Pelodiscus sinensis: one gene and its partners. The protein of the gene in region 1 interacts with the protein of each later gene in a pairwise test. Links are inferred from orthologs where the notes say so. Each region holds a gene or a part of one and is shown in the gene's direction. Other genes may lie near its edges.

Evidence for each region.
Region 2: the proteins of TRIP10 (region 1) and SH3BP1 interact in binary tests that used the Homo sapiens proteins (3 or more experiments, as listed by UniProt). The two-hybrid records come from large-scale screens. The link is inferred for Pelodiscus sinensis from reciprocal best matches to the Homo sapiens genes TRIP10 and SH3BP1.
Region 3: the proteins of TRIP10 (region 1) and WAS interact in a two-hybrid assay, tested with the Homo sapiens proteins (2 studies listed by BioGRID). The link is inferred for Pelodiscus sinensis from reciprocal best matches to the Homo sapiens genes TRIP10 and WAS.

What each region holds. Positions count from the first base shown.
Region 1 is NC_134729.1:11,915,705-11,923,235, reverse strand, and holds the start of TRIP10 (cdc42-interacting protein 4), read left to right. Parts: upstream 1-4,467; 5' UTR 4,468-4,627; coding exon 4,628-4,735; intron 4,736-7,531. UniProt on the Homo sapiens protein: Required for translocation of GLUT4 to the plasma membrane in response to insulin signaling. Required to coordinate membrane tubulation with reorganization of the actin cytoskeleton during endocytosis.
Region 2 is NC_134711.1:92,440,755-92,448,403, reverse strand, and holds the start of SH3BP1 (SH3 domain-binding protein 1), read left to right. Parts: upstream 1-4,574; 5' UTR 4,575-4,851; coding exon 4,852-4,913; intron 4,914-4,961; exon of another isoform or gene 4,962-6,008; intron 6,009-6,584; coding exon 6,585-6,627; intron 6,628-7,581; coding exon 7,582-7,649. UniProt on the Homo sapiens protein: GTPase activating protein (GAP) which specifically converts GTP-bound Rho-type GTPases including RAC1 and CDC42 in their inactive GDP-bound form.
Region 3 is NW_027466045.1:200,683-208,291, forward strand, and holds the start of WAS (actin nucleation-promoting factor WAS), read left to right. Parts: upstream 1-4,579; 5' UTR 4,580-5,051; coding exon 5,052-5,162; intron 5,163-5,704; coding exon 5,705-5,845; intron 5,846-6,034; coding exon 6,035-6,121; intron 6,122-6,604; coding exon 6,605-6,701; intron 6,702-6,845; coding exon 6,846-6,887; intron 6,888-7,000; coding exon 7,001-7,051; intron 7,052-7,167; coding exon 7,168-7,339; intron 7,340-7,609. UniProt on the Homo sapiens protein: Effector protein for Rho-type GTPases that regulates actin filament reorganization via its interaction with the Arp2/3 complex. Important for efficient actin polymerization. Possible regulator of lymphocyte and platelet function.

The sequences.
Region 1 (7,531 bases):
GTTGCCCCTCTCAGGAGAGAGGCTGCGGATTCAATGGGCCTCGGGTCGGACCCCATCCCTACAGAGCCCAGCCCGGGGACTGGGCTGGGCTGTATCTTTGGAGCTAGTCCTGCTGCCGTGTCTGTTCGGGGGGGCTCTGGCAGGCCCTGGGCTGCGGCGTGATCACCTCCTTTGTTGGTTGTGCAGCTGCCTCGGCGGTTGTGTGGCAGGTTGGTTGCGTTTGACACCAGGAAGGAGCCTTCCCAGCAGGCATTTGTGTCAAAATACAACCTAGTCACCAGTTTCCTGAGCGAGGCTAGTGGCAGCCTTGTGGGAGGGCTGACAATGGCCGAGCCCCTGGGCACGGTAGGTGTGCGTGTGTGACGGCATGTTCCTAGAAGGGGCGGGGCTTGGGCGGAAGGGGCGGGGCTTGGATGGAAGGGGTGGGGTTTGGGGTAGTTGGCTCTTAGCACTACTTGGAGTGCACCTTGTTCCCCAGCCTCCTGCCAGGCCTCAGAGCTGCCCAGAGCATGCCACGTGGTGCTCTGGCGGCGATTTAAAGGGGCCAGGACTCTGGCTGCCATGGCCCCCTCATTGGTGGGGGCTGCAAAGCCTGGGGGAGGTGGGCGGGGAAGGAGGATGGACTAAGAAGAAGGGTAGCCTAGTGGGTAAGTCACTGGGGTGAGAGAGACCAGGCGTCAGTTATTGGCTCTGCTGCCTACTGCGTGACCGTGGGCAAGTCACGTCATGGCTCCATGCCTCAGTTTCCCAGCTGTAAGATAAGGGCTCTTCCTTTGGGCCCTTTTGAGCAGCTCTTTAGAGCAGGCACTTTCCCGCTAGGTGTGCTCACAGCGGGGCCTTGATCGAAGCCAGGTGCTACTGTTATGTACTACTAAGAGGTAGTCTGCCTGAGGAAATTGACCGGCTTAGCTAATCTGGATAACCGTCCCATGTGGACGCAATTCTTTCGGAAGAGCAGGAACTCAGAACATCCACAGCCAACCTCATTCTGGGGTAACTCCCCTGTGCAGCTGAGTCCTACCCAATAGCGTGTTGGCACAGGATAGTTTGGGGCAGCTCCCTTCCCGCCGGTCTGTGCTTTGGGGGACCCTGTGGCAGTCCTATGGATGGGCCTGGCACAGGGTGGCAGCAGGAGTCACTGCCCCCTCGCCAGAGCAGCCCAGCAGCCTCCTCTGCCCCACCCCGCCACCCTCCCCTCGCCCGCTGCGCTTGGCTTTTCTGAGGCAGCAGGAAGCAGAAGGCCCCAACCTCAGCGTACTTGACTCCTCGCCGCTGCTGAGAAGCGAGGCGCAGTGGGGCGGCAGGACGATGTGGTGGCAGGGTGGGGTGGAGCAGTGGGAATGCCCTAGGCTACCCCCCACCTCCCCGGACGGCCCTCCAGGTTTGTGCTGGAAGCTGGGGTCGCCCGGCAGGGTGGTGTGCCAGTCCGGAGCCAGGTCATGGCACCAACGCTCTCCCACGCTGGGCTGCAAACCCGTCCAGCCAGGCCACTTGCCAGAGGCTCGTACCAGTGCTGGGTCGCGCCCTCCCCTCCCTCCCCCTCCGGGCTAATAGCAATTTTGCTCTGGCTACGCCGGCACAGCTGGCATCAGGGCTACTCCCTGAGGTGGCCAAAGTAGGGATGTTAAATTTAAATTAATCAACTAGTCGAAGTCTATCGACTATTCGATTGGTAGATAAGAGCGCCTCTGCCTTTGAACTGTAGGAAGAGCCTCTTGCTACAGTTCGAAAGCCCCGCGCTCTCTGCCACTCCTGAGCCTTTGAAATATACATTTCAAAAGTCGAATTGCGGCAGAACCGGCACGCGGAGACTGCAAAGGGAACCATCATTGTGATTCTCCCACCTGCTTCTTTCAGGGCTGCTTTGGGCTGCCTGAGGGCCATAAGAGACCCAGTGTAAACCAGGCTCTGGCCCTGCCATGAGGCGTTTCCCCAAATGATGATGGGAGAGGAGGAAGCTGGGGTCACTTCAGGTGGCTGCAGTCTGAATGAGCAATTAGAGCAACTCCTGCAGGTCTCAGCTTCCAGGTTCCAGCCAGGCAGGATCAGGTTTCAAGCAACTTTTAGATTTTATTTTTAGTGTTGTGCGATGCTGCTTTTGCATTGGCTTCTCCAAATCTTGGTGGACCCCAGTTGTGCCTGCCTGCTCAAACGTCTCTCTGATCCCCTGGCTCTGAGTTTGTCTGCTCAGAAACGTTTGAAGTTTGACATGTCGCAATGTTTCTCTCCCCCCCCCCCCCTCCCCCTTTTGGCTTCTTGCTTTCAGTTCTTAAATCTTCTGTACACAAGATCAGTCCCGTCCTGAAGTCTGGGCTGTCTTATCTCTGGTCAGAAATCTTGAAAGTCATTTACAGGGAGTGGTAAAGGAACCTTTTTGGCTGTCTTTTAATATTAGTCAGTGGTGCTTGGATGAGGGTTCTCAAAGTGAAACGGATAACTCTGAAGGGAAGCAGAAATCAGTAGCGGTCGGAGGAGGGGAAAGACCGAGAATTGGGCCCATGGGCGAGTGTGGTTTTATTCAACGAGTCCGACTCAAGAGTTCTGTCCTCCAGCTGTGTTGTAGTCTTGCAGCATGATCTTGGGCGAGTCATTTAATCTTTCCAGCACCTGTACAACAACGTGAGCTTCGAGACGTCATAAGTGACTAAACCCGAATCTCTGACTTAAAATCCAGTTTCTTACAGCTCTGGTTTGCATTCACTCAGCCTGCAGATTGAAGCTGGGTTAGTCAATTTCACTGCTGTTACTAGTCTGTTTCACTTCCTGGTGAGCAGTGCCTGCTGGGCACTTATATGCATTGGTTGCAGACAATGCATGGAAAGAACTCTTTTCCACACACACTCACACACGGTCACAAAAGTTCCCTCTAATCTGTTCCATCCATGTGCGGATTTTTTTTCCCATTCAGGTGTGGAATAATTTTTTTCATGTGCTCTGGGGCACCATCAGTAGAAACAAAAACTTTGCTGCTGACATGCTGCTGGGCAGCCTTTGATTCTCTCCTGAGCAGTTACACAAGCTGTCAGGGAACAATGGTCACAAAACCATTTAATTTCTGCTAAATTGCCGTGAAATCTTTAAACGTAGTTAGCAATGTTGGATCTCCACAGCTTAGATGTTTCCCTTTGTAAGGGAGGTCTTGAAAGGGGTCAGATGGCAAGCCAATCATTGGAAGGGTGCCACCCCCCATTACACACAGCTGACCTGTGGAACTCCTTGCTATAAGATAATTAGCTACAACCTCAGCAGGATTTTTAAAAGGTATGGATGAAAGCATCCTGGCTTATAATAAAACAAAAAGCAACCCCCCAAAATGTAGGCAGGGCCATGAATCCTTCTGCCTTAGGATGGCTATAAACTCTTCAGAGAGCAGGGTAACGTGGAGTCTGCCTTGGGCGTCACTCCCTCTCCCCTTCTCATCCGCACACAGTCCTCTCGCCCGAGTGTGAGGGTGCTGTCACCCCAGGCTTGCTGGCTTGCCTGATGGCACCTCTTTCACTTGGGCTAGATTGCAGCAGTGCAGTGTGACACAGGCTAAAAATCACACCAGTGCTGCAGGTCTGAAGGTGCTGCCCCACAATTCCCCTCTGTGCCCTGGAGGACAGATGGATTTTCCCTTCTTTTTGCTGGGGGGGGGAAATCCTGGAGCATGCTGCAGAGACAATGGGGCGCGCCCCCAGGTGAAAGCAGTAATGGTGACTCATTGCTGTCGGGCTGTTCGCGCCTGCCCTGGCTGCTCCGCTCCTGATGCTGATCGCTCTGCATTGAAGACACCCCCTTAATCTTGGGGCCAGGCTCTTCTTGGCCAGTCGCTAGGCTCCCCATACCTGAGGGGTTTCTTGTGTCTCCCTCTAACGCATCGAGTGCTGCTGCAGAGACCGGGGTTTAGGGTTCGACCGATTGTTGCTTTTATCCAGCCTGGTGATTCCGATCTTCTTTTCCTCAAAGAGGCCATTGCAAATGTTAACCCAACCATCTCCTCGTCCAGGTGCTCGCTCGCTCCTCCCTCCTGTTTACTGTGGTTGTGCAATCAGTTGGGGGGGGCGTGTGTGTGTGTGTGTAAAGAATCTCTCTTCCCATTGCTGTGTAAGACACCTGCAGGGGAAAACTGGTGAAACTAACCAGAGTCGAGCTGAAAACAGGCCACCGGGTTTATTGCATATACCCGAGAGCCTGGTCTTTTTTTTCCTCATTGATTTGTATCATAGTAGCATTTGGAGATGAGAACCCCTAGCAGGCTTCTGCCGGCAGAGCTGTGTCCGCCCAGGCTGTGATCCGTGGCCAACAGCTAGGCTGGCAGAAGCCCCAAGTGTGGGTGCAGCTATTTTGGGAAAACTGGCACAGCTTGTTTCACGCGGGGTGGATCCAAGGCTGATATTGCTGCATCCACAGGAGCAGGGCTCTGCTTGTGAGGCGTGCCAATTTCCTAGTGTAGCTACTGCCTAAGAGAGCTCCAAACAGCTTCCATGCTAAGTCAAAAGGGAAGGGAGACTGAGGCCTGGTCAGAAGATGCCAAGGTCAGAGGCAAGCCTGGGTATTAGGAATGTAAAATCCTGGTCAATCAGTAAACCTAAGGTTTAACTGGTTCACTGACTAAGCAAGATCCGGGCAGGGGACTGCACCCAGCATGTGGGGCTCCTACCCCCAGCGCCTGTGCTGGGGCTTGCTGCCGGCTCCCGGCCCCTGTCCGCAGCAAGCTGGAGGCTGCTCCAGACCCCACTGGTTACTGGAACAGGTAAGCCTCCCCCTTTCCACATCCTTCCTGGGAATAGAACCCAGGAGTCCTGACTCTCTCATCTTATCTACCTGACCCATGTTGCCTTGGAACTAAACCTCTCTTCCCAGCTCCATCTGTCCTTCCCCAAGGGCAGACGGACCCTCTCCCCCTCCAGTCCAAGGTGCACACCCTCCAAGCGTGGGACGTTTCTCCATCCTCCCCTCCACCCTGCCATGGTGCCCCAAGGCCTGCGCTCCTTGGCCACCCGGTGCTAGGCAGAGGCAGAGGTTTGTGGCTCCATAGAGCGGTGTCAATGGCTGTAACGCAACAGCGGGAAGCGAATTGTCCCCAGCGTGAGCCGCCAAAACTCTGGCACGGCGGGGAGCTGATCTATAAGGACCCGAAGGAGCGGTGGCTTTCCAGACCTGAGCTGCCCTCCAGCCAGATGAATGGGGCGTCTTGGGGAACCCCTCAGTGGCTTCTGCTCTAATGAACCAGTCCCCTCCTTGTAAGGGCCGTTCCCACCTGGGGGAAACTTCCCCGTCTTGGAGCAGAGCCGTGGAGGCCTTGTCGGCAGTGGGGATTTGCCCCACTTCTACGGCCCTTGGTGTCCAGGCCCTCGTAAAGCTGCACCAAGCAAGGGGTTGGTATCCGGATTCTCAGTGCTTTGGGGCAGGGTCTGTCTCTCGCTGTGCCGGGCGCTGCACAGACACAATGGGGCCCTGGCCTCTGTTGTTCCTTAGACACTATTGTAAGAAATATGATGAGCCCCCCCGCCCCCAATCAAATTCAGGGTCCTTTCATATTTGATGCTGCAGAAACAGTCACCTAGGAGCTCACAATCGGACAGAGGGCAGGAGAGGAAACTGAGGCACCAAGAAGGGAAGTGAATTGGCAAGCAGCATGTCAGTAGTCGAGTTGAGAACAGAATCTGTCTCCTGACTCCTAATCCAGTGCCATAACCACTAGGCCCCACTGCTGGTAGACCACGTAAGCTGTCCTAAACTGAGCTTTGCAGCACTTCACTTCGGTCAAAAATCTGCTTTGCCTGTGTGCGCAGATGCCACGTGCATGTCGGTCTCCCTAGGCGGAAAAGGGCTTTTGGGGCGGGAACTCCTCAAAGCTTCAGCACCTGCTGCTTCCGGGGAGACAGTAAAAACGAGGCTGCCCATGTAATCGCCCGGCTTGGAGCTGCAGAAAAAATGTGGCAGCCAGGTCCCTTTAAAGAGCCCTCCTGGTGCAGTAATAGGATGTGTGTTCAGCGCCCCTAATCTCATTATTGGGCTTTAACTGTTGTTTAACCTTGGTGTGCTGATTTTTTAAGTGGCAGCCTTAAGGTGCTGCATGGCCTCCCGCCCCTGGGTAACAGCCATTAAAAGGGCTTTGGGATGGGAGGAGGAGAGATGGGGTGTCCTGTCTGAAGCAGCATTAAAAATAGCACCAGGCTTAGCAGTGCTGCATCATTCTCAAATGACGCCCCCTCCCCTCTGACACTGTTCTTGGCTGCACGGGGGAGAGAAAACGGTCATGAAAATCCCCAGCCAAAATCCCACCTCTGGATGATTTAAACCCTGACTCCTTGTTCCTTTCTCTGCAGATGAGCTGGGGGATTTCCCTGCTTGTTTTAAAATCCCCTGCAGGACGGCTTTTGGCTGCTCACCCCTGGTTAGCGCTTCCCTGGGAGACTGTGTTAGCGGGATTGGGGGAGGTAGCGGCCCCCTGACATTGACACACAGAGCCGTAGCCCCAAAATCCACTGCAGTGAGGGGTGTCAATCTGATGATGCTTTGTGTGGGGACACAAGTCATAATTCCTCTTCTTCCCCCCCCCCCCAGCAGTTGTAAAATCAACACTAAAATTAGCATCTCGCAAGCCACTTAACTTCTTTACATGATCCAGCTTGTCACAGTCAGAGGGGTGCTAACGTTTATATAGAAACCCCCCACTTTGTCTTGTCTCTTTCTCCACTCCAGAGTTCCCTAGGCTCCCAGGGTTCCAAGTGGTCCCTTATTTTCCCAGGAAAGGAACCAACTCTCTTTCCCACTCAAGTAGCCTGTGGAACTCATGGCCACAAGCTTTCACAGAAGCCAGATGCATAGGAGAGGAGAGTTTTAGAAAGCTTGTTCTGGAGATAACTGTTGGGTTTAGGTGCAAGCTTTCCATGGGGGCGAGTTGTCCCCTCGCTCAGGGGTAAGGCTGTGCTTCTGTCAGGTCTGGTTGCAGGGTGTCTAGCTGGAGCGAGTTTTAATCCAGCGGGGGTACGATGTATGGTGCAGCTGTGACTGCACGTGCTCAGCTGCTTCAGTGCAAACTTCTCAGGGAACCTCTGTATAGACCAGGGATGTAAGTGACTAGTTGGCTGTCTGATAACCTAGGCTTATTGGGTAGTCGAGTCATTACTCAACTAGTCGCTCCCCCCTTGCTGCCTCGGTATCAGAGGCAGCAAGGGGGGGAGGAGCAGGCTTAGAATGGGGGAAATGGCATGAGCCAGGCGGCTCTTACCATATTTAAAAAGCAGAGCCACAGCGAACCCCCTTATCGACTACATAAGGATATAAGAATGGCCAGACTGGGTAAAACCAAAGGTCCATCTAGCCCAATATCCTGTGTGCCAACAGTGGCCAATGCCAGGTACCCCAGAGAGGGAACACAACTGGTAATCCTCACGTGATCCCTCCCCTGTCACTCATTTCCAGAGAAACAAAGGTTAGGGACACCATCCCTACCCATCCTGGCTAATAGATGATCCATGAATCTATCTAGCTCTTTTTTTGAACCCTGTTAAAGTCCTAGTCTTCACAACATCCTCTGGCG
Region 2 (7,649 bases), on another chromosome or scaffold:
CTTGTATATATTTTCGGTGCAAATTCTGTACATGGAAAAGGATTTCAAAAGCCGCCCGGTGCGCGAAATCTGCTGTATTTATGGGAAATAAAGAGTGTTCTTTCCTGATGTCTGTCAGGGTTTTCCTGAGCTACACTTGGGCTGAGGGCCCCTTTTGTCACCAGCAAGCCCAGCATCTGTCATCCATAGAATCTCTGCCCCCTGCACGCAGTGTCCCTTCTCCCTCTCAGCTGAGGCGAGTGCCCCCTACTGGGGCACTTTTCCATCCCCAATGTGAGGATGCGTCTCCGTGCAGCCAAGCCTGGGGAGAACACTGCTAGTGTGCTGGAAGCGTCCCTGTTCCCTCTGCCCGTTTCAGAACATTGCAGCATGGATCCCAGTAACGAGAGGCAGGGCTTGCTCTGCGACGCCAAATGTGTGTTCAGACCCAAACCTGCCCTTGACACTCACCCTAGCTCAGTGGTAGCCTAGCCATGGAACTCGGGAGCCTCCCTGGACCTCACTCACTGAACTGCCCAGTGGGAGCCAAGTACCAGGGCAAAGGAGAGCAGTGAATCTTCTGGTCGGCTAGCTGGGCTGCCCTGGATTTCGTGGTCCTGGCTCGTGGGACAGAGAGCAGTTGCTGCCTTTTGGGGCTGGAACGTGCCTTCCTGTTTTCTGTGCAGAGTTGAGCACAGGAAGAGCTGGCTGCCAGCCCCTGCTGCTCCCTATGTTGGAGGATGAGGGGGCTAAACATTGGCCCTGTGGAAGGGATTGCTAGGAACTCCTGTGCCAGGGTTAACCTGACCCTCAAGCCCCCTCACTGAACCATTTTGGGCCTGGCTCAAGTGCTGTTTGCAGCGAGGTTGCTCAGCTGATTGCTAGTAGCTGCCCCCACTTCCTCTTCCCCTAGGTTTTTCTGTGGGAGCCTCTGTAGCGGCTGCCACAGTGGGTCTCGTAACTGCTGTTAAGCGCCGGTGGCCTCCTGGCAGGCTGGGGAAGATGCTTGGTTTTGGAAAGTAGCAGTAACGGCTATAACTTGGGAGTGGGCTTTTTGCACCTCTGTTGCCTTGTGTCTCAGTGGGGCTAGCCCAAGGGCTGTGTGTCTACTGCCAGTACCCCCATTAAATGTCAGCTTGGGCAGCTACTGCAGTGCATGACGCACAGATTGTTTGGAGCCTCATTCCCAGCCAAGGGGAGGCCTTGCTCAGTGGATCCCATAGCAGACGGGTGTGACTGCTACTGGGGAGTTTCCTGACTACACAACCACTTCCCCTACACCTAGGATGCCTGGGAGGCCTCTGAAAGTAGCAGCTCAGCAAGCAGCTTCTTGGCCTTTGATCCCTGTGGAGTCTGGATAAAAAGTCAAAGGAGCAGGGCCATCATGATGTACCGCACAGAGACTCTCTCTGGGGTGGTCTCCGTGTCTTTGGCCACTGTTGCCTGTAAGCCTCTCTCTGCTTTGCCTATGTTCTAATCCCCCTGGGTCAAATATGGCCCAGGATCTAGGGCACTGGCTTGCAAAGGCTGAGCCCTGGGTTGTGCTCCTAGCTCTGCCCTGAGCTACAGAGTGACCACCCCTCGGTTTTCCCAGCTGACAAATGGGCATGATGCCGGGAGGAGATCTCTGGGTGCAGAGCAGTGTTCCCTGTAAGCTGCGCATGTGTGCGGCTGCTCAGGAGAGATTCCAATGAAGAATGTTAAAATGCATCATTTTTTTGTAACTGTGTAACTGAAATTTTGAGCGGTTATATGTTTTCATGGCGGGGGAGGTGGCTCAAACAGATCTCTGCGCTCTCCTTCCCCCGCTTCCTCTGATACAGAGGTAACAGCGTAGGGTGGGGGGCATTGCAGCTCCACGGGAGCTGGTACATGTATGGAGCTGGCTCCCCACATGTACAGCTCCTGCCTGCCCCCGTGCGTTGCTGCCTCTCATACAAAGGCCGCAGCATGGAGGGGGGCCTTTGTGTAGAACTGTGAAGGTTAATTGATCAGCCCAAGTTCATCAGTTAAATGTGTACATGATCATATCCCTAATTCAATCCTGCCCCATTGCTTAACAGAGCACCCACAGCTAGGTTTTTTGTTTCTACGGGAGAGGCACATTCACACACGCCTTGGTGCACACACACATTTATTTTGCACGTGGGTGGAGAAGTTTGGTGGGAACGCTGGTGCGGAGTACCATATAAGGCCTCAGGAGCACTACTTATTTTAGTCCTAGCCCATGCATGGGGATGGTCAGCTGGGTCACTTTTTCCTGCCTCTCTCCCTCCTTGACAATTCTGCAGTGTGTTTCTTTATACGTGCACATGCACTCTGACCACTTCCTGTCCCAGCTTCTGAGCTCTCGCACTGGCTGTGCAGGCTAGCTGCAGCACTCCCTGGCCCTCCACCACTCTCTGGACAGGCTGCTGCTGGCTGTGGGGGGTTGGGGATCATCTCACAAAAGGGAAAGAAAATCCTGGTCTAACAGATTATCTCCTTCGAGCATGCCAGTAAAATCAACAGGAGGGTAAGACCTGGGCCCTGTTGCCACATGTCCCAGAGCTCTGCTGCTACTGCTGCTGCAGGCTGCGGCTTGGCTCTGCAGAGGAAGGCACCAAGGGGGTTGCAAATCTCACAGCTAAGCTCTGAGCTGCCCTCTGTTCTTGGAGCAGCGCATTTGTGACACTATGTTCCCATGCCATTGGTTTGCAGAAGACGTGCGAGTGGGAGGTGCTGCAGTGCACCTTACAGCAACAAGGGTGGTGAACCCACTGCCACAGCCTCTCTCCAGGGTGCACATGCAACACCTAGGGACCCAGCATAAGCCCGCAGCACTGTGGGGGAGGAGGGAGTCCCCTTGCTGCAATGGCTGGGGTGCAGCGCTGGGATGGGGGGTCGCAGGACCGGAATAGCGGCAGGAGCTGCAGATGAGATACACTGACAGCTATTGGGGGAGATCATCCGAGACTGCCATTTATTATTGTAAGAGCCCCTAGAGGCCAGCATGTCTGGTGCCCTGTTGTGCAAGGCGCTGTACAAACAGAAAGTGACTGTCCTGCCTTATGAGGAGTGAGGTAGATGGGCAGCACTGGGGAGCAGTTGTGGCGGCAATAGAAGGGACTGTTGCTGGCCAAGACTGAGGTGTGTTGGCAGTGCTGCAAGGGCTGCACAGAAATAGCAGCAAGTTCAGGGTAGGAGGGTGATGCACAAAGGCCTGTGGGCGCAGTGTGGGGCTGGACTGGACTAGCAGGAAGCGCAGCAGATCGGGAGCAGAGCCGGGTGCAGAAGTGGTGTGCTGGTTTACTGGTAGTTTCAGGGGAACCGATGGTTTGGTTTGAACCAAATTTGAAAATTGCAATAACAGAAAAAAAATCAGCAAATGGAAGTAAATCCAGTCAGGCCGAAGAGAGCACGCTGCTGGACCCAAACCGTTTTGGTGCAGGCTGTTAGCCAGCTTCACAGAACAGGAGAAGAAAGTGCCCTCCCTATAAAAAAAAAGGCTGAAACTTGTAACTGTTAGCAGTTAGGGCATTTATCTGGCTCCCTCGCTTCCCAGGTTTATCTCCCCACTCCCCTTCCTGATGTGGAGAAGAGATTTGAATGTGGGTCTCTCATTAGCTTGGGAGAAGATCCTACCCACCAGATTAGAGAGTCATCCTCCCTTGGTTTTGCTGAGGGGTAGTCATTGTCCTTATGGATGGCCATGAATTGCCTCAATTAATAACAAGGGCTAGTCATTGAGTGGGGGTGGAGGGAACCATGTGACTGACTCCAGTGCAGAGGTTAGGGCACATGCCTAGGCAATAGGAGAAGCCAAGTCCCTGCTCCATTGGCTAATTATTTACACAACGTGGAACAGCTTCAGTAGGAGCTGAGACTACCCCGTATTGCCTCTTGCTCTGGAGCTGGGCTGTTCCTTGTAGGGTGAGAGCACTAAGTTTGAATCTTTTCTTCACACCAGGCCGAGGGGGGTCTGAACCTCCCACAAGGGAGCACCTTGGCGACAGGGGGGCTAACAGAGGCCGGGGTTCCCCATTTTACGATGAGCACTTCAGTGTCAAAAAAACAAGGGCAGACCCTGGTTAGTGCATCTGTGTCAAATTCACCAGTGGGTTTGAGTGGACTGGAGCTGTACTTTGTGGTGATGTGAATCAGCTCATCTGCCCCAAAGCCAGGCAGGAAAGGCACGGGCAGAGTGGGCCGGGTATTCCAGGTCAGGTACAGCAGGGGGGCTGAGGCTCATGACTGAGGTGCATTGGCAGAGCTGTGAGAAGCCAGCATGGCACCTGCCTTCTCCATCTCTGCCTCTCGCTAGTGGAATGGATTTGCAGGGTCCCCGCATGAGTCTGCCAAGGCGTATGGAAGGCAGAGTAGGCACCGGTGGAAACAGCGGGTGGGAAACGAGAGGGAGAGTGTGTGGGCCCCATGCTCTGGTTAGGCTGTGGCGGGTGCTTGTTCTGCCTTGTTACATGTTTGCTGTAATAATATTTCCCCTTTAAGGCTTGGCTGAAGTTATTTATACTTGCGGGGTGGTGACAGGAACAGAGAGCAGCACCAGGAGCCCTGACTGCTCTTACCTGCTTGGCGATGACGGGGTGGGGGTGAGGGTGGGACTCAGACCAAAGAGGAAACAGAGGAGAGAAGGAGAAGGAAAGAGAAGTGAGAGAAGGAGAAAAGGGAGGCAGGAAACCCAAGAGTGAGGGAAGCGGGGCAGGGAGGAGAGAAAAGGGCGGGAGTCCGAAGCCAAGTCAGAGTGAAGAGAAAGAGGGGGAGAGGAGAGAGGGAAGTAGAGAGAAGCGGGCTGTCTCCTCCCATGACAAGTGCAGCTGGCTGGCGCTGAGTGGGGGGGGTGGCCGGTGCTGTGCTCTCCTCTCCGCTCCCAAGATGATGAAGAGGCAGTTTAATCGGATGCGGCAGCAGCTCTCCTATCCCAGCAACACAGGACGGTAAGGACCCAGCCTTAAGCCTTTCATCCTCCAGCTGGTGGGGCTGACGGGAGGGCAGGAAGCTGCACTGGAGAGCATTTCACAACCCCTCCCCTCCAGCCTTTCAGCGGCACATGGGCCAGAGACCCAGCGCTGCCAGGAGCCAGGGCAGGAGCTGTGAGGACCACCCAGGCCCTGGGTGGAGTGATCATGGGAGGGGCTGGGGGAGCTGAGAGCAGCCTGTTTGGGGAAGCTTTAGCTAAACCCTAGGAGGACTTGGTTAACTCAGACTTCCCCTAGCCCTCTTGGCTGGGGGAGTTGGTGGGACACAGCAATGCTGCTCCGTAGTGACTCCCGCTGGTCCTTTAAAAAGCCAGGTTAACAAGCAGGGGCTGGCTCCACTTGTCCTGCTGGACTGAGCAGTGGGGCCCCTCTGTCCTGACTGGCCCTGGACGCTCAGCTGCGACGGTGTGACTCAGACCCATGTCAATTAGGACAGGTGTTGACCCTAATCCGGACAGGTGAGGCAGGGAGGGCCTGTCACATTGTGCCCCTCTGTGGGGAAGCAGGGCAGTCACAATCTGGGGCCAGGGAAGTGGGGACGTCAGCAGCAGAGGGAATCCTCCGGCCCCATTGGGGGAAGAGAGGAAGATCAATGCAGGAGGAGAAACAAGACTAAAGGCACATTCCCTGCCAGGGTTTCCCTCCCTCCTGGGCCCATCTGGAGCTGAATCCTACACACGGTGGCAGGGGAGCTTCCTCTTGTGTCCGTCAGGGTCTCAGAAAAGCCTGCCTGAGGAGGTGAGGGGTGGCGGTAGGCTAGTGAGAGAGGAGGGGGCTCTGGGCCTATGCGCTGCTCTCCTTTCCTCTCTGGCTCTCTAACTACATTTCCATTCCGGCCGCTCCCCAGCTCAGGGCCACCTCTGCTTTATTGTTTTTCTCTCGTCTAATTGTTCCCCTTGCAAAACCTTGGGAGCCCTGGCAGGGCTGGGCTCGCCGGTCTCTGCTCCAACCCACACACATATTTTGTTGTTTTAATGTCAGGCAGTTGAGAATGGCTTCAACCCACCTCACTGTTTGCCTGAGGCCAGGGAAGTGGGTCTTTCACTGGGAGTGGTAGGTATTTCTGCAGCTGGCTCTTTCCTCCTTCCTCTTGCCTTGCCCCAAAGCAGACCCCTCCCTCAATTCCCCCTCACCTCCGTAAGAACTAGGGCAGTGGCAGGGCCTCTCTACTCCCTACCTCCTTTGCACTGATCAGGAGATTTTAGGGTCCAAGATCTGCCCAAGTGCCTAGTGATTTTCAGTGCACAACCCCAAGGTGTCTTGAAGGGCCCTGGTTATTAGAGGGCAGGAACTCACCATTCCCTGTCAATCAAGTGTCTTTTGTGAGGTGCCCCAAATCACTAGGTGCTTCTGAAAATTTTGGCCTAGATCCCTTATTTAGCAGAGAAGGAACCTGCATGAAGTCTCCCAGTGCTGTTACTGCCCCACGCTCCCTTGGCTCGCAGGCTGGGAGCCATTTTCATGCTTCACATCCTCTGTCCATGGGCTCACCTGCAAGCTCCTCTTAACCCGAGACATGATGACCCGGAACCAGAGCAATGGGGTTTGGTGCCCTCCCTCCCGAAGAGCCTGGTTGGAGGCCACCAAATGTAATGAGTCTCTCGCTCTCCCTCCCACTCTTTTCCCCAGAGCCCAAGAAACAGCTGAGCTCCTGACTGAAGACTTGCTGCAGGTGAGGCCTGGGTTCAGTCCACAGGCATGTGTGGGCCTGTGCCTGCATGTGGGGCAAACATCTGGTGTGCCTGCGTGTGAAATACTCTCTCTCTCTCTCTCTGTGTTTACCTAAGTCACAGGGCAGCCTCAGCCTGGATTGTTCTGTATCCTGGAACGATGCCTACGTGCAACAGTGGGGGCCAGACCTCTGACAAGCCTCCCTGATTGCATCAGGGGGAGACAGAGTAAGCCTCAAGCCTGAGCAAGGCAGCCCAATGCTTGGTGGGCCTTGTCTCCCATGCCAGCTCTGCCACTGAGGCTTTCTCTGTACTATGTCCTGAGCCATGTTAGGGAACCCTAGTATCACTCAGCCTTGGCCACACTGGAATGTGGGTTGGTTTTGCCTGTGGAGACCAGACAAAACTGTTATAACCTCATAAGGAAACTGACGTAGCTCTGTCTGGTCTCCACAGGCAAATCAAGCAGTGGTAGAACAGGGGCACTATGCAAACGGGCTGTGCTTGTAATGTAGGTGTACAGCTGATGGACAGGTGGGATTGAACCTTGGTCCTTAGGGGAAAAAGCCATGAGCCTCTACTACTTGAGCTAAAAGCCATCTAGCACTTAGCTAAGGCTTTAAAGCAGATGTCTCTCTCCCATACATAGGCAAGGCCTGACAGTCCATCTTCTCTGGCAGTGGGGTGGGACAGAGAGACAATGCCTCATCAGGCCCCCACAAGACACTAGAAGAACGTGGGTGGGTGTCAATAGGCAGAGAGGGTCCCACTGTGCCCTCCACATTGGAGGAAAGGAAGCTGTCTTTCCTCAACGGGCAGCTGTCTCCACAGCTAGGAAACCCCAGCAGAGAGACCCCACGGCAGCCCTAGAACCTGGTACACTGAGGAGTGGCTGAGGATGGAAAGCTTTCCCCCAACCCCTCCCCCCATTTCCCAGTCTCTCTCCCTCTCTCTAGATTGAGCAGCGAATCGAGCCAGCCAAGCGGGCCGCGCACAATGTGTCCAAGAGGCTCCAGGCATGCCT
Region 3 (7,609 bases), on another chromosome or scaffold:
CCCAGCGACAGGTCCAGCCCTGCTGGAGAGCGAGGGTTATGGGTGGGCAGGAGGGAAGCGGGGTACAGACACCCCCCAGAGCTGGCGGAAGCTACGTCTCCCCCAGTGTTCCCTGTGAGCTGGGCGCTTGTGCGAGCACCCACATTGATTTCTTGTGTCTTAGTGGTGCACGTTCACACGCGCCTCGGTGCACATAACAAAATAATTCCGCACATGGATGGAAGCGATTAGAGGGAACATGGGGCTCCCTGTTAGAGAAATCCCGGGCTCTCTGCTTCCTCTCCAAAAAGTGTCTAGATCTCACCCTCATGGCTCCGCTCCCCTCTAGAAAAATCCTTGTGTCTGTTTTCCTCCAGAACCCTCTAGATCCCACCTCTCCCCTCTAGAAATATGCCGATACCCACCTCCAAAGATCTCTAGATCTTTCCTGATGCGTCTGTCTCCCCTCTAGAAAAATCCCAGCACCCCCACAGGCATCGCCACTGTTCCCCTACCACAGTGGCCTTAGTCCTCAGTGCCTCTCCAGCCAGTGCCTTAAATCCCCCCCCGGGGGGGGCAGCCCCTCAGAGCCTCCTGGCTACACGACACCCCTCTCCTGTCCCCACCCCGAATTTAACCCCAACCCCAGTGTCTGTGTCCGGGCCATGGTGGATTTGCTCCCCCTCCCAACTGGACCAGGGTCCTTCTCTGGTTGCGGCCCACGGAGCTGGGAGCCGCATCCCATCCAGGCTGGGACACAGCCGCTTTATGGGGTGGCCGGGGGGACCCCCAAAGAAACAGCACCCCTCTTGCCCTGGGATCATAGAATCATAGAATAATAGGACTGGAAGGGACCTCGAGAGGTCATCGAGTCCAGCCCCCCGCCCTCAAGGCAGGACCAAGCTCCGTCTACACCATCCCTGACAGATGTCTATCTAACCTGTTCTTAAATATCTCCAGAGAGGGAGATTCCACCACCTCCCTTGGCAATTTATTCCAATATTTGACCACCCTGACAGTTAGGAATTTTTTCCTAATGTCCAATCTAAACCTCCCCTGCTGCACTTTAAGCCCATTACTCCTTGTCCTGTCCTCAGAAACCAAGAGGAACAAATTTTCTCCTTCCTCCTTGTGACACCCTTTTAGATATTTGAAAACCGCTCTCATGTCCCCCCTTAATCTTCTTTTTTCCAAACTAAACAAGCCCAGTTCATGAAGCCTGGCTTCATAGGTCATGTTCTCTAGGCCTTTAATCATTCTTGTTGCTCTTCTCTGTACCCTTTCCAATTTCTCCACATCTTTCTTGAAATGTGGCGCCCAGAACTGGACACAGTACTCCAGCTGAGGCCTAACTAGTGCAGAGTAGAGCGGCAGAATGACTTCACGAGTTTTGCTTACAACACACCTGTTGATACAACCTAGAATCATATTTGCTTTTTTTGCAACAGCATCACACTGTTGACTCATATTCAACTTGTGGTCCACTATGACCCCTAGATCCCTTTCCGCCATGCTCCTTCCTAGACAGTCGCTTCCCATCTTGTATGTATGGAACTGATTGTTCCTTCCTAAGTGGAGCACTTTGCATTTCTCTTTATTAAACCTCATTCTGTTTACCTCTGACCATTTCTCTAACTTGCTAAGGTCATTTTGAATTATGTCCCTATCCTCCAAAGAAGTCGCAACCCCACCCAGTTTGGTATCATCTGCAAACTTAATAAGCGTACTCTCTATCCCAATATCTACATCATTGATGAAGATATTGAACAGTACGGGTCCCAAAACAGACCCTTGAGGAACTCCACTTGTTATCCCTTTCCAGCAGGATTTAGAACCGTTAACAACAACTCTCTGACTACGGTTATCCAGCCAATTATGCACCCACCTTATCGTGGCCCTATCTAAGTTATATTTGCCTAGTTTATCAATAAGAATATCATGCGAGACCGTATCAAATGCCTTACTAAAGTCTAGGTATATGACATCCACCGCTTCTCCCTTATCCACAAGGCTCGTTATCTTATCAAAGAAAGCTATCAGATTAGTTTGGCATGACTTGTTCTTCACAAACCCATGCTGGCTATTCCCTATCACTTTATTACCTTCCAAGTGTTTGCATATGATTTCCTTAATTACCTGCTCCATTATCTTCCCTGGGACAGACGTTAAACTGACCGGTCTGTAGTTTCCTGGGTTGTTCTTATTCCTCTTTTTATAGATGGGTACAATATTTGCCCTTTTCCAGTCTTCTGGAATCTCCCCTGTCTGCCATGATTTTTCAAAGATCATAGCTAAAGGCTCAGATACCTCCTCTATCAGCTCCTTGAGTATCCTGGGATGCATTTCATCAGGACCTGGTGACTTGCTGACATCTAACTTTCCTAAGTGATTTTTAACTTGTTCTTTGTGTATCCTATCTTCTAAACTTACCCTCTCTCTGCTTGTATTCACTACGTTAGGCACACCTCCAGACTTCTCGGTGAAGACCGAAACAAAGAAGTCATTGAGCATCTCCGCCATTTCCAAGTTCCCTGTTACTGCTTCTCCCTCCTCACTAAGCAGTGGGCCTACCCTGGTCTTCCTCTTGCTTTTAATGTATTTATAAAAGGTCTTCTTGTTTCCCTTTATGCCTGTAGCTAGTTTGATCTCATTTTGTGCCTTTGCCTTTCTAATCTTGCCCCTGCATTCCCGTGTTGCTTTCCTATATTCATCCTTTGTTAGTTGTCCTAGTTTCCATTTTTTCTAGGACTCCTTTTTTATTTTGAGATCGTGCAAGATCTCCTTGTTAAGCCAAGCTGGTCTTTTGCCATATTTTCTATCTTTCCTACACAGCGGAATTGTTTGCTTTTGGGCCCTTAACAACGTCCCTTTGAAATACTTCCAACTCTCCTCAGTTGTTTTTCCCTTCAGTCTTGCTTCCCATGGGACCTTACCTACAAGTTCTCTGAGCTTATCAAAATCTGCCTTCCTGAAATCCATTTCCTCAATTGTGCTGGTCTCCCTTCTACCTTTCCTTAAGATCATGAACTCTATTATTTCGTGATCATGGTTGCGTCCGGGTACACGCAGCACGAGGTGCACTTCTTTTGGCAGGAAGGGGCTCTGTATAGCATCAGGACCCCGGGGTCTCGCGCCGGCTCTGGGAGGGGAGTGGGGTCTAGTGGTTAGGGCTGGGAGCCAGGAAGCCCCAGTGACGAAGTTCCATCGCTCCCCTATTCTCCTCCTCCTTGTGCTGTGGGCGTATCTTGCTTGGCCTCCCCCAAAGGAGCGACATCGGCCCGACTTTGGGGCCTTCATTTTGGAAGGAAGCGTTTGAGCAAGAAATACGCTTCTTTTCCCCGGCTTTTTGTCCTTCCCCTAATCCCTCCCCCCGCCCCAAATCCAAACCCCTCAAACCAGAAAATTCTCCTTTCAAACAAATCCCCAGCCCATGTTTTGATTTCTCCAGAAAAAGTGGGGGCTTCCCTCCCCGACATATTACAGCCCTTCGATTCCAGGTCTGGCCCAGAGACGAAGAAAACCATCATGTTTTATGAGCTGGGTGGGGGAACACCCCCCTCACCCCAGATTTCAGCAGCACAATCCAACTCCGAGCGACAAAGATACCTTTTATGGGGTCGCCATTGGCGGGGGGGGAGAGACGTTTCGAGTTTCCCCGGGGCTCATGTCCTTCCTCCGGGACTCGATCTGATCAAAGATACGACCCCCTTCTCCCCCATCTTGGCTCTGTGTTTGTTGGACGTTGCTGCCCCTCCCCGCAAAATGCCCGTTCCCTGACGAGAAAGCAACCAAAAAAACCCATTCACAAAGCGGGATTTTTGCCCAGATCTGAGGCCTGAAAACACCTTTTTAAAATGTTGGGGCCACTTTCCCAAGGGTCAGGTTTCCTTTTGGGGGCCTGGCGTTGCCTGTGGCTCGTATTGCATGTTGCAGGGGAGGAGGGGCTGCAGGTGGAAAGGTCCCGAGTTGGTATCTTGGGCTTGGTGAATTCAGAACCTTCTTAGCAGAACTCCGTGTGGGTACAAAACTGGCACCTGCAAAAGTCCCGCGGCTCTCCACAGCCACCGGTGTGCTCGCTCCAAAATTCGTGTCTGCCTCCATGCGCCATGGATTTCTGCCGGCACAGCCACTGCTACTGGCAGGTTCGCAGGGCTCTACTCCTTAGACTGGGTGCCCGGCTGGGCTGATCGCTCTGGGGCCATCTCTCCCCCGACGAAAATCTCCGTCTCCCCGGCACCTTGGCCTGCCGATCCTGCCTGGGTTCACGCAATTCCAGAGGCTCCAGATTTCGGGAGGGGAGTGATAAAAGAGCCCCTGGCAGTGGCCAGCTCTTTCTATTGGACACTCAGCCTGCTCCTGCTCCCCCCCAGCACAAAGCGCCGTGGGGGGCGGGATGGGGGGAAAGAAACGCAATGTGAACGTGACGCAGGGCGCCGGTGGCTTCTGTACGGTAGTTCTGGGTTTCAATAAACAGCAACCGGACTTTCCCCTTCCTGAGTGTTTTGTGGGGGGCGGGGGGAGAGACATTCTGGGAGGGGGCAGGTGGGGGGGAAGTGGGGGGTTATGGAGGGAGGAGGGTGGGCAGATGGAAAAGGGATTGGGGGGATTGTAGGGCAGATACAAAGGTGGGGGGAAGCCCTAACTACGTTACCCCCCATAGAGAGGCACCTGGAACCAAGCCCCTCCTCACACCTGGCCTGGCTTGGGGGGATCCCCGCCACCTACAAGACGCGTTGGGCTCAGAAATTCCCCCCCGCCCCAGCCGCCCCCAAAACGGCTGCAGAGGACCCTGCCCCCAGCAGAAACAACACTGCCTGAGTCTGCCAGGAGCCTGCGCTCCTTGCTCGGCGGGGCCCCCGCCATCTCCCCCCCGCTCGGCGGGGGCCCCTTGCTCCCACCCCCCTACCCTGTTCCCCCAGCCCCGGCAGGGACTGTTCGCAGAGCCCAACTTCCCCTGGCCGGTGGTTTCTGTTGCGCTTCCTGTTGGATGTGACGCGGAAGTTGGCCGGGTCGCGAGCGGGGAGGGGAGAGACCCCAAGAGCCTGCTGTTGGGGCGGGTGCCAGGAGCCAGCATGAGCCGAGGGGCCCGGGCCGGGGCCCGAGCGCAAGAGAACGTCCCCTCCTGTCTCCTCCTGGACCATGAAAACCAGCAGGTGTTTGAGCTCCTGGGCCGGAAATGCACGGTGAGGGCCCATGGAGTGAGGGGCACCGGCAGGGCTGGGGGGCGGGAGTGAGGGGCACCGGCAGGGCTAGGGGGCGGGAGTGAGGGGCACCGGCAGGGCTAGGGGGGCAGGGGTTGGGGGGTGGGAGTGAGGGGCTCTGGCAGGGCTGGGCGGTGTAAGTCTGGAGTAAGGGGAACCCCAGATCTTGGGTAGGGGAAGCCCAGGGCTGTCAGAGGCTGCTCATTGGGAGCAAGGGGCACCGGCAGGGCTGGGGGGGCTGGAGTGAGGGGCACCGGTAGGGCTGGGGGGCTGGGCTGGGCTGGCAGAGGAGTGATGGGCCTTGCTTCCTGGCCCCCTTTCGGCCATGCAAATGGCGCTTGTGGGGCTGGTGAGAGGCCCATTGGGGTCCCGCCGGACGCCTGAGGCCAACACCGGAGACGGGGACAGGAACTGTCAGCCTGGGGAGCCGTAGTCAGGCAGGGTGCAGCTGTTCCCAGCCACCCCACCCCAGAGCTGGCTGCATCAGCCGCCATCTCTCTGTAACTCGGATGTCTCTGGCCCAGACCCTGGCCACGTCCGTGGCCCAGCTGTACCTGGCCCTGCCCCCCAACAGCCAGGCCTGGGGCAAGCAGGGCTGCGGGGTCCTCTGCCTGGTCAAAGACAACCCCCGGCGCTCCTACTTCATCCGCCTCTTCAGTCTCAAGGTGAGTCCCAGCCCTGAGAACCCGGGAGTCCTGGTTCCTCTGCGCTAACCACTAGCCCCCGTTCCCCTCCCAGAGCTGGGCAGAGAACCCGGGTGTCTGGGCTTCCCTGCGCCAAGCACTGGCCCCGCTCCCCTGCCGGAGGCGGGGCGAGACCCCCAGGGCGTGTGCCAGGGTTCCCTTCTCTTGCAGGAGGGCAGGCTGACGTGGGAGCAGGAGCTAAGCAGCCTGGAGGCCTATTCAGCTGTGTCTGCCTATTTCCACACCTTCCCCGGGGACGTGAGTATCTGCCCCAGGAGGGCGGGGCGCGAGGGCGGGGCTTCCAAACCGAGCCCCGCCCCCGGGACACAATTTCAGAGACGGGATAAAAGGAGAAAACTGAGGGTAACAAATAATAGGTAGGGCTAGGGACCTCTCCTGGCTCTGGGGGGGAGTGGGGCCTAGGGGTTAGAGCAGGGGGGAGGGAAGCCAGGATGCCAGTGTTCTCCCCTGGCTCTGGGAGGGAAGTGGGGCCTAGTGGTTAGCGCGGGGGGGGCGGGAGCCAGACGCCTGGGTTCTCCCCTGGCTCTGGGAGGGAAGTGGGGCCTAGCAGTTAGAGCAGGGGGAAAGGGGCTGGACGCCTGGGTTCTCCCCTGGCTCTGGGAGGGGAGTGGGGCCTAGTGGTTAGCGCAGGGGGGGCGGGAGCCAGACGCCTGGGTTCTCCCCTGGCTCTGGGAGGGGCGTGGAGCCCCCCCGGACTGGCGAGGTGCCGATTGCTCCCAGGAATGCCAGGCTGGGCTGAACTTTGCGGACGAGGCCGAGGCTCGCGCCTTCCACATGGTGGTGGAGGAGAAGCTCCAGAAGCGCCAGCACAGGATGGGTGAGTGGCAGGGCAGGCGCTGGCCCCCCTGGAGGGGCAGGGCCCCGGGCCCCTTCCCTGGCCCCCCTGGAGGGGCAGGGCCCCGGGCCCCTTCCCTGGCCCCCCTGGGCCAGTATCCTAACGCGCTTTCTGCTCTTTCCTCAGAGAAGCGGCAGCTGCCCCCACCCCCCCCTCCAGTCCCTGAAGGTGAGTCCCCCGTGATCCCGCCGCCCTGCGCAATGGGGCGGGGCTGAGCCCCCCAAGCTCTCCCGTGGGGGAGGGGCTGGCAGGTCTAACACGGCTCTTTCTGCCTCCTCCAGAGCGCAGGACGACGCTGCCCCGATCCCCGATTGCCGGGGGGGACATGAACGGTAAGCGCTCGGAGGAGGGGGTCTGCAAAGGGCTACCCGAGCCCCCCGCCCGCTCCCTGTCCTCCAGGGGAGAGCCCCGGCCCTGCTCCCCACAGCCCCCCCTTTCTTTCCCACAGGTCCCAGCAAACAGCCGAGTTCCCCCTCCTTGAACCTCATTACCATGGACATCCAGAACCCGGACATCACCTCGTCCCGGTACCGGGGGCTGCCGGTGCCCCCCGCTGCCGAGAAGAAGAAAGGGAAGAAGAAGATCTCCAAGGCTGACATCGGCGCCCCAAGCGGCTTCAAGTGAGAGCAGGGGGACGGGGCACTGGGCTGGCCTGAGGGGGCGCCGGCTCCCGCCCGGCCCAGGACAAGGGCTGGCTGGCTTGTGGGGCGGGGAATGGGACAGGGGCCTGTCCCCTCCTGGGGGTGCCAGCTCCCACCCAGCCCAGGACAAGGGCTGGCTGGCTTGGGGGGCGGGGAATGAGACAGGGGCCTGTCCCCTCCGGGGGGTGCCGGCTCCCACCCGGCCCAGGACAAGGGCTGGCTGGCTTGGGGGGCGGGGAATGGGACAGG